Arabidopsis thaliana: one gene and its partner. The protein of the gene in region 1 interacts with the protein of each later gene in a pairwise test. Each region holds a gene or a part of one and is shown in the gene's direction. Other genes may lie near its edges. The genes, in order: HB-7 and MBD02.

What was found.
Region 2: the proteins of HB-7 (region 1) and MBD02 interact in binary tests that used the Arabidopsis thaliana proteins (3 or more experiments, as listed by UniProt).

What each region holds. Positions count from the first base shown.
Region 1 is NC_003071.7:19,164,491-19,168,886, reverse strand, and holds HB-7 (homeobox 7), read left to right. Parts: upstream 1-1,919; 5' UTR 1,920-2,113; coding exon 2,114-2,473; intron 2,474-2,693; coding exon 2,694-3,110; 3' UTR 3,111-3,613; downstream 3,614-4,396. Other genes in the region: AT2G46670 (CCT motif family protein), read left to right, coding at 3,654-4,106, 4,200-4,298. UniProt on the Arabidopsis thaliana protein: Probable transcription activator that may act as growth regulators in response to water deficit.
Region 2 is NC_003076.8:13,522,585-13,527,502, reverse strand, and holds MBD02 (methyl-CPG-binding domain protein 02), read left to right. Parts: upstream 1-1,704; 5' UTR 1,705-1,882; exon of another isoform or gene 1,883-2,227; 5' UTR 2,228-2,232; coding exon 2,233-2,678; intron 2,679-2,783; coding exon 2,784-2,837; intron 2,838-3,255; coding exon 3,256-3,413; intron 3,414-3,617; coding exon 3,618-3,778; 3' UTR 3,779-4,100; downstream 4,101-4,918. Other genes in the region: AT5G35320 (DBH-like monooxygenase), read right to left, coding at 4,359-4,738. UniProt on the Arabidopsis thaliana protein: Probable transcriptional regulator.

The sequences.
Region 1 (4,396 bases):
GGGCCAAAATATTCAGGCACCACCACAGATCAACTGCCATGTCATCTCTTCTATCAACTTTGATGTCCCAAAGCATTGAACTCTCATCTCTGATTATAACACTTGGCTAGTTTTCGATGGCTGATTTTGATACTTTTTGATTGCCACTTTCTGATAAGTTCAATAAGACTTTAGAAATTGATCTCTTACGTTAAATTTTAGTTGGTACTTCTTTTTGGTTTAATTTTAGTTGATACTTGATAGATATAATTTCGAATTATGTTTTTTTTTACAAATATCAGATTTAATTATTAAAAAAAGAATATTAGGGTTTGAAAATATCTTATCTAGATGGCCCAATTTAATATTTTTGCTTGTATTAATTAGTCAAAAGAAATTTCCGACAAGCAAGGTGAACGTAAACCTTAAACTAATCAGGAAAGCAAGAATTAAAGTTGCTTTTCACATTAATACTAATATTGTTAAATTGTTATCGCTATCGTGAAGAAAATAAAGTCTAGGGAATCTGCCTCAAATATGGTTTCCCTGTTGGCAAAAATTTAACTTGCTTCCATTCAAATGATGAAATGTTACGAAAAATTAGCCTTTTGTCTTTGGAGTAATGTTTGTTAAATAATCACGAGGCATTCATTCTTAAAATACCATAACATTTATAGAGGTTTGAAGTACCATAATTTGTAAAACTAAACTAGAGAAATTTTGCGAAATCAGTTGTATGAAGACTTTCTTAAAAATAACGTTATATAGACTCTAGAAAAAAACTATTATATGCCATTTCTATTTAGTTTTTTTTTCTAAAAATATATATAAATATGGTGTTGTTAACATAAAAACAGAAAAAAAGAAAAATTTAGAAAATTTTCTCAAGAATCATTATATCTGTGATTTATCATATAAGTTCAAATATGATATTAGAAACAAATAGTTTACGAGTATAATAGTATTGTCAATTTTTCAATCTGAAGTAAATATCTTTTTGTAAGGAAGGGGTCAACAAATGATCACAACAGAGTTGGCAAAAAGTTATCAAATCGCATGCACGGAAGTTTTACGTGTGGTGAAGGTAAACTTGTATTACACTTATCTATAAAAATTAGTTTAGGCTTTGATTCTAAATCAAATCTCCGATTAGAAAAAATTGCGTAAGCAAATAGCTGGAAAAAATTGTATCCCATCATACTTAAGTCACAATGTTTTGTTTTTGAGATTTGTGATGTAATCAATATATGTTTTACAATGCAAGTATAATAATATTAAAGTCACATTCTAAGAAAATTATGATTTGTGTCATACGTATACAAAAACACCCGTCACACATCCTGACTTCTGAACGTTAAATCTGTCGCACACAATCATAAAAATTTAAAAATTCACCAGAGATGTACTGAAAAGAATATAATTAATCACATGATGATATATGCATAGGAGATGAGGATTATTCATTTTCTGAAATTCCCTATATGAACCATTATAATTGTTTAGTAATCAGTTCAGAAATGCTAATCATTATATGAACCATTATAATTCCCTTCATTTTTATTTAAGATCCACTTAACAGGATTTGTTAATATGCACCCACATCACTAAATACATTGGTACGCAACCGTTGTTCCATTTCCATTTTCACATCGACCAGAATGTTTACTATGCGGTAAATTGTGTAGTATGCAGATTTTTTTGTATCATTTAATTTTCTAACACTTGTTAAGTCGAAACTAATTTTGTCACAAGTAAAAGAAATAAAAAAGGTGGAAATTATTAATCAGTAGTTAGATGATTAGTTTCGAGTTGAAATGAAACTCGACTTAACAAGTGATAGCGACGACTCTAGAAACAGCCAAAATCCGCCCTATTGCTACCTGTCGACCCACAAATCGTTTACTCAAAAATGAATAAAAAATTTACGATAAAGCAAACCCAAAGTTATATCTTATTATATGCTAAGGAGCCCTCCCAAAAAAGAACAACAAATCACATTTTTATATAACTGTTAACATAATAATCTCAGCCTCATCAACACACATATATAGATAGCCAACATCACACAAACATAGAGATTCCAAAAAATAAAAATAAAGAAAACATAAATCCTCTGAGGAAAAATTCCGATGAGATGACAGAAGGTGGAGAATATTCTCCGGCGATGATGTCAGCAGAGCCATTCTTGACCATGAAGAAGATGAAGAAGAGCAACCACAACAAGAACAATCAGAGAAGGTTTAGCGACGAGCAGATCAAGTCACTGGAGATGATGTTTGAGTCTGAGACAAGGCTTGAGCCAAGGAAGAAGGTTCAATTAGCTAGAGAGCTAGGGTTGCAGCCGAGGCAAGTGGCTATATGGTTTCAGAACAAGAGGGCTCGTTGGAAATCCAAGCAGCTCGAGACTGAGTACAACATTCTCAGACAAAACTACGACAACTTGGCTTCTCAGTTCGAGTCCTTAAAGAAAGAAAAACAAGCTTTAGTCTCTGAGGTATGTTCTAAACTCTGTTTATTCTTACATGGTTAGTTAAAATCTGTGTATTTTGTGGTTGTATACTGAAAAACTGTGGTTTTAAATATGTGATAAAATATGTGCTTTAGTGGTTATATTGCAATTAAGGACTGATTAGGTGATCAAGAAAAACTCTGTTTTGATGGTTTATTGAAGGAGAGAATAGATTGTTGATGAGTTGTTTTATACCTTTATGTAGTTGCAGAGGCTAAAAGAGGCGACGCAAAAGAAGACACAGGAGGAGGAAAGGCAGTGTAGTGGAGATCAAGCGGTGGTTGCTCTAAGCAGCACACATCATGAATCAGAAAACGAAGAGAACCGGAGGCGTAAACCGGAAGAGGTTAGACCGGAGATGGAGATGAAAGATGATAAGGGTCATCATGGGGTTATGTGTGATCATCATGATTATGAAGATGATGATAATGGTTATAGTAACAACATCAAGAGAGAGTATTTTGGTGGGTTTGAGGAAGAACCAGATCACTTAATGAACATTGTTGAACCAGCTGATAGTTGTTTGACATCATCTGATGATTGGAGAGGTTTCAAATCAGATACTACTACTCTCTTGGACCAATCCAGCAACAATTACCCTTGGCGGGATTTTTGGTCATGAAAACAATAAACTCTAAACAAGAAGATGAAACAGATTGAGACTAAAGATTGGATATATACATATTCAAATCGAAATTTACCGGTCTACATCGCATGAACCGAGCCACGGATATAGAGATATTCGGTCCAGCAAATGACTCGTTTCTCAGCGAGAATTTTGCAGGATTTTGAGCTGAAATTGTATGGTTTTGTCTGTATAAATGATGTGTTTAGAAAGACGTATATTCTCAGTTCGTGTTTGTAATTCTGTTTTTAAGTAGTAAGTACTCGTCATGCTTTGTAGCTAAGTAGTAAGTTTAAGACTAAATTTGGATGAATAAAAATCAAAAGCAGGAGAAATCATATATATAAAGTGTTATGCATTAATATGTAAAAGATCAAGAAGAGAACTAAGTTGGTGAGAAGAAACTGATATTAGGAACACGAAAAGAACCATGAAACCCAAGTTAACATCTTCTTGACTCGGAAGATTTAAGGAGAAACTTTGTTTTTTTCTCAACAAAAGCAGAGTATCAAAACAGAGTCAGTCAATTCGCAAATTCTTATGTATTTAACTTGCAGATTTGAGGAAAGCAAGTCAGCAGAAAAAGCCGTCGTTGCTTTAGAGGAGAGTACTTCAGGTGAGCCAAAGACACCAACCGAATCACATGAAAAGTTGAGAAAAGTAAGATCTGATCAAGGAAGCTCCACAACGAGCAGCAACCAGGAGAATATCGGATCATCAAGCGTAAGCTTCCGTAACCAAGTTCTTCAGTCCACAGTAACGAATCAGAAGCAAGATTCACCCATACCGGTAGAATCAAATCGCGAGAAAGCAGCTAGCAAGGAAGTAGAAGCTGGTTCTCAAAGCACCAATGAGGGGATTGCTGGACAAAGCAGTAGCACAGAGAAACCAAAGGAAGAAGAAAGTGCGAAACAACGTTGGAGTAGAAGCCAGAGAGAAGCTGCATTGATGAAGTTCCGGTTGAAGAGGAAAGATCGATGCTTTGACAAAAAGGTAAGAGACACACAAGCTTCATCATAAAAACAGCATCTGAAACAAATACAAGATCAAACTGATTCAATGGAGATGTATAAAAATGGATTACAGGTTCGGTACCAGAGCAGGAAGAAGCTAGCAGAACAACGTCCTCGAGTGAAAGGCCAGTTCGTGCGAACCGTGAATTCAGACGCGTCTACAAAATCATGAAGAGCTCTTTCAGTTTTTCCTCTGATTTCTTTTGTTGATTTTATAACAGAAACTTATTTAGCTTTTGCAATCTTTAGTGTGCTTTTTTTTTTTATGTA
Region 2 (4,918 bases), on another chromosome or scaffold:
GATTAAGATCACAACCGTCCCCTGATGTACTAGGCTGGAACTACACAAAGCATGGGGAATACACATTCAAATCAAGTTATTGGCTCTGTACACATCTACCGAATCAACAACATGATTATGTTCCCCCACCAGGTTTACCCGAGTTTAAGAGAGTAGTATGGAAGCTAGACACGACACCAAAACTAAAGCACTTCATGTGGCGGATAGTAACTCAATCATTGGCGACAGGCGAGGCCTTGACACGACGACATATCATTTCAGATTCACAGTGTAAACGATGTTGTGCAGCTCCTGAAACATTAGAACGCCTATTCTTTGGATGCCATTATGTTCAAGCTATTTGGAGGGGCTCTCCGGTGTCACATACAGCGTTTTTCAATCCACACTTACCTTTTGAAGATAAATTCAGATTAATCCTTCAATGCTGTACTGATACGAGACAAGACCATATCACAAGACAAATACCTTTATGGATGTTGTGGCACATATGGAAGAGCAGGAATTTGTTAGTTTACCAGCGAAAAGGGAGTAATTGGCAAGATGATGTACAAAAAGCGATAACAGACTCATATGAGTGGATTCCTCTGCAGCGAGACACACAACGACGAAGTCTAAATGACAGAAGCGGGCAAGGGTAGCAAAAACCTATTCACGGCTTTATCAAATGCAATTATGACTGCAGTTTCTCAAGGAATGATCTAGCACCAAAGGCTGGTTGGATTTTACGAATTGACACAGGCAGTTATCTACTTGCGGCTCAAGGTACAAGACAACTATGCAACTCAGTGCTAGAAGCGGAACTACAGGCTCTCTTGATGGCAATGCAACATACATGGAGTAGAGGATATCGAAAGATTATATTTGAAGGTGATAATAGGACTGTGGAAAGCTTACTCAATGGGAACACAAGGAATTTTGAACTTCATAACCTCGTCATGGAGATACAACATTGGCGGAAGAAGTTTTCTACTGCCATTATCAAATGGTCTTTCCGGTCAACTAACAAAGCAGCTGATCGATTAGCTAAAGTGGAGTTAGAAAACATTGTTACTTTTGTCTCTCATTCTTATGTACCTCTGTTTCTTGTACAAATCCTCCATAGGATTACACATCATCCCTCTAATAAAGTATATCTGTTAATGTTAAAAAAAAATAAAAAAAAAAGAATCGGTTATTTTCGGGTTTTAAACTTAAAAACCAAAGAAACCAATATCCGAATCGAACCGAACCGTAATAAATTTCGGTTAGTTTCGGAAGAATTTTCAAAAATCCAAAATAACCGAAACCCGAAATAACCGACTCGGTTCGGTTCGGTTTACCCGAAGTCGCAGGCCTAATATTTTATATCAACAATTGACATATATTTTGACCCAAAAAAAAAAAATCAACAATTGACATATATTTGTTTTTATTAAAGTTTAATTTACATATTATGGAAGTCTCAAAATATTTGTTAAACAATGGCAAATATTTGTTAGACATATTTCATCTATTTAGCATGCACAACACGAATCCATATCTAATATTAGAAAGAATTATCCTTTGATTCTTTTTTTCTGAAGGAAATTTTGATTAATGGTAAGATTTGTTTATAAGCCCAAAAGCACAAATATTCTCCTACTTATAGCATGATATATTTTGAAGTGAATGTAAATTAAGAATTATTTTCGTAACAACAAATTTTATATTTATACAAAATAAATTAAATTCAGTTTCTTTCTCTCTTCTCTTTCTCGGTTTCCCCATTTTCTATCTAGACAAAGAGTGTTGTCTGAATTGGCTCTGTCTCAAAAAATGAAATTCTCAAATTAACCACAACGATCTTTAGAGCCTTCTTCGCTCACCGATCTCTGAAACCCTGGTTTGCTCTCGTCCTCTTCGTGTAACGATTCTTCTTCTTGATAAATTTTTAATCTTTGTTTCGGCTTTTCGATGAAATTGTTTTTTTTTTGGATCTCGTCTCTATCAGCTCATGTTCTTCTTTGATTATATGATAATTGTTGTTTCCTTTGCTCTGTTTTATGATTATTGTTGATTTTTGAGATTGAAATGTTCGAGGGTTTCTACTGTTCACTGTTCTTTACACGTATCAATGTTTTCTTGATCATGTTCTCTTATGATGTTAATAGAGAGACTAGTGTTATTGTGATGAATGATTCTTGTTAACTAAATTTGTCATTTTTGTTTTCACTTGACATTCATTTCTCTAACCATTTATTATAGGTAGTTTCTATGAGTATGTCGCAGTCTCGAGCTGTCCAAAGATCGTCTTCACCTAATGAGGATAGAGGTGAGAATCAGTTAGTGGTTTATGACTTGAAAGGAAATGATGATACTGAAGAAGAAGTTCTACCGGTTCAATCTCAGCCTTTGTCATCTAGAACACAGTGTCCCTCTATCGGGGCATTTACGGTTCAGTGTGCAAGTTGTTTCAAATGGAGACTCATGCCTTCAATGCAGAAGTATGAAGAGATTAGGGAACAGCTTCTTGAAAACCCGTTTTTCTGCGATACAGCGCGTGAGTGGAAGCCGGATATTTCTTGTGATGTTCCTGCTGATATCTATCAAGATGGAACTCGTCTTTGGGCTATTGATAAACCGAATATCTCTCGTCCACCCGCTGGCTGGCAACGTTTACTGCGGATTAGAGGTGAAGGAGGTACCAGATTTGCTGATGTGTATGTCGTTCGTTAACTCTTCTCTCATTTATGTTAATATTAGTCTTTCTTCTTTATACCATTGTATTGGCTTTCTTTATCATTCTTTTATCTTGGTTGTTTCAGTTATTATGTTGCTCCGTCTGGAAAGAAGCTTCGATCAACTGTGGAGGTCCAAAAGTTAGTTTCTCTACCACTCCATTTCCACATTTTCGTTTTCACATTTAACAAAGTGTTCCTTACTTTTATGTTTGATGAGGTCTCACTGTATCAGTCTTACCATTTTCGTCAACCAATATATTGAATCAGTAGGAACCTCAAGTATTGTTCTGTGGTCATAACTAGAGTTAGGCACTTATGCAAATTACAGAAATCCTTGCATGTGTTTTGTTTACTAACGAAAATGTACTATGCCAAGAAGTTAGTTAAACTATCATCCTTATTTCCATGATACTTCCCTGCAGCATTTGAGAGTGACAACAATGGTAGGAGAAAAAAGCTTAGTGACTTACCAATTCGTTTAGTGATTACCAAATTGTTTTCAGTGACGTATAGCTAGCTTCTTTACACCCTTATAACCACTATTACTGGTTTGCAGGTACTTGAATGACAACTCCGAATACATTGGAGAAGGGGTGAAACTTTCACAGTTCTCGTTTCAAATCCCGAAACCGCTGCAGGATGACTACGTGAGGAAGCGCCCAGCTCGACTACTGGATTCCATCGATAATACAAACACCCCTGTAGCTAAAGAAGGTGTGTTGCTTATCAAGGCACATAAATATAATTGTGGTTATCTTTTGTATCAAGGCTTTAGATTATTGATGTCATTTTTTCAGTCAAGAGTGTATTTGACGTATACTCGAACCGAACATTGGTGTCTTTAGGGAACTTTATTAACATGAAAACGTCTATGCTTTTACAAGTTTCTAACATTTCGCTTGTCTTGTTATTTTTCAGCTAATCCACTGGCATGGATATCTCCAGATGATCATATATCGTTGCAGCTAGGTACGCCAACCGAGTCTGGACTTAACAATTCACATTACCAACCATCGAAAAAGAAAAAAACATCGACGCTATCAATCTTTGGCTCCAACGACGAACTTGCTGATAGATAATCTAGCTAGACGAGAGTGAACTTATCTCGTCTTCTCTGGTATATAACCCGTCTTCTTTCTTCGTTTTTTGGGTTTGTCTTATCGAAGAAACTGAAAGCATGTGGTTAGCTTGTTTTTTGTGTATACCATCTATTTTGTTTTGCAGTGTAACATACTTTCTATGAAGAAGATGGGTCCTTTTGGTTTTTGCTTCCAAATAACTGGATTTTCATGCTGAAAGTTTTTAAACCTAAAGTTTGATTATTACCAAATTCCATTATCTCACAAATCCACTAGAGGACTGACACAAGAAAGCAGATAAGAATAGATCAGAGTCTGTTTAACTGTAGATGTGCATGTTAAGTTGGAACGTAGTTTATCTCAAAGGATATTTTAACGACATCCAAAAGATAACATTCGAAAGTCAAAACCATCCTAGGGGAGATATGGCTGAAGCTATTAGTTTGGTAAACATACAACAACAAAACTATGCCATATCTCTAATCTGCGCAAAAGGCAGAAACAAAAACTAACAACAAATCTGCCTTCTACTATCCTGCTTCGTGCATTCCCTATTCAGTTTTCCCGTGGTTAAGCCGTATCATCGGAACCAAGTGATGGGAGTGGGAGTAGTACTGACTTGAGGAAGCTGCGGAATCATACAGTTTTGCGCTTGCTGCCACGGATGCAAGCCAAAACCATAGGTGTGCTCTTGCTCTTGCTGCTGTCCTTGCTGAGGGAAAGATAGACTGGTGCTTCCAGTATCCTCTTCTATCTCATTGGATGCATCATCCATTACCACATCCTCACCTGTCTCATCCAACTCAGTAATCTCTAGTGTCCGCGGTTGTTGGAAGGTTCCTATGGACTGTGAGTAAGTAGACTGAGACGGATTCCAGCAAACAACAGCTTGACACTTGTTTAATCTCTCATCTTCATACTGATTATCATCAGCTATCGATACATCGCGAAGAAATCTATCTGCACAAGTGTTAACATTCAGAATTTAGACACAACCGTCTGTATTTAGTCAACATTCTGGATCACAAGTTAAAGGCAAACAAACAAAACGAACCAGAACAAAATCTGACACTAAGACACAGCAAAATCCTCATAATATCTATGATAATTTCCCAGTTAACATGACAATCTGTTCAACAT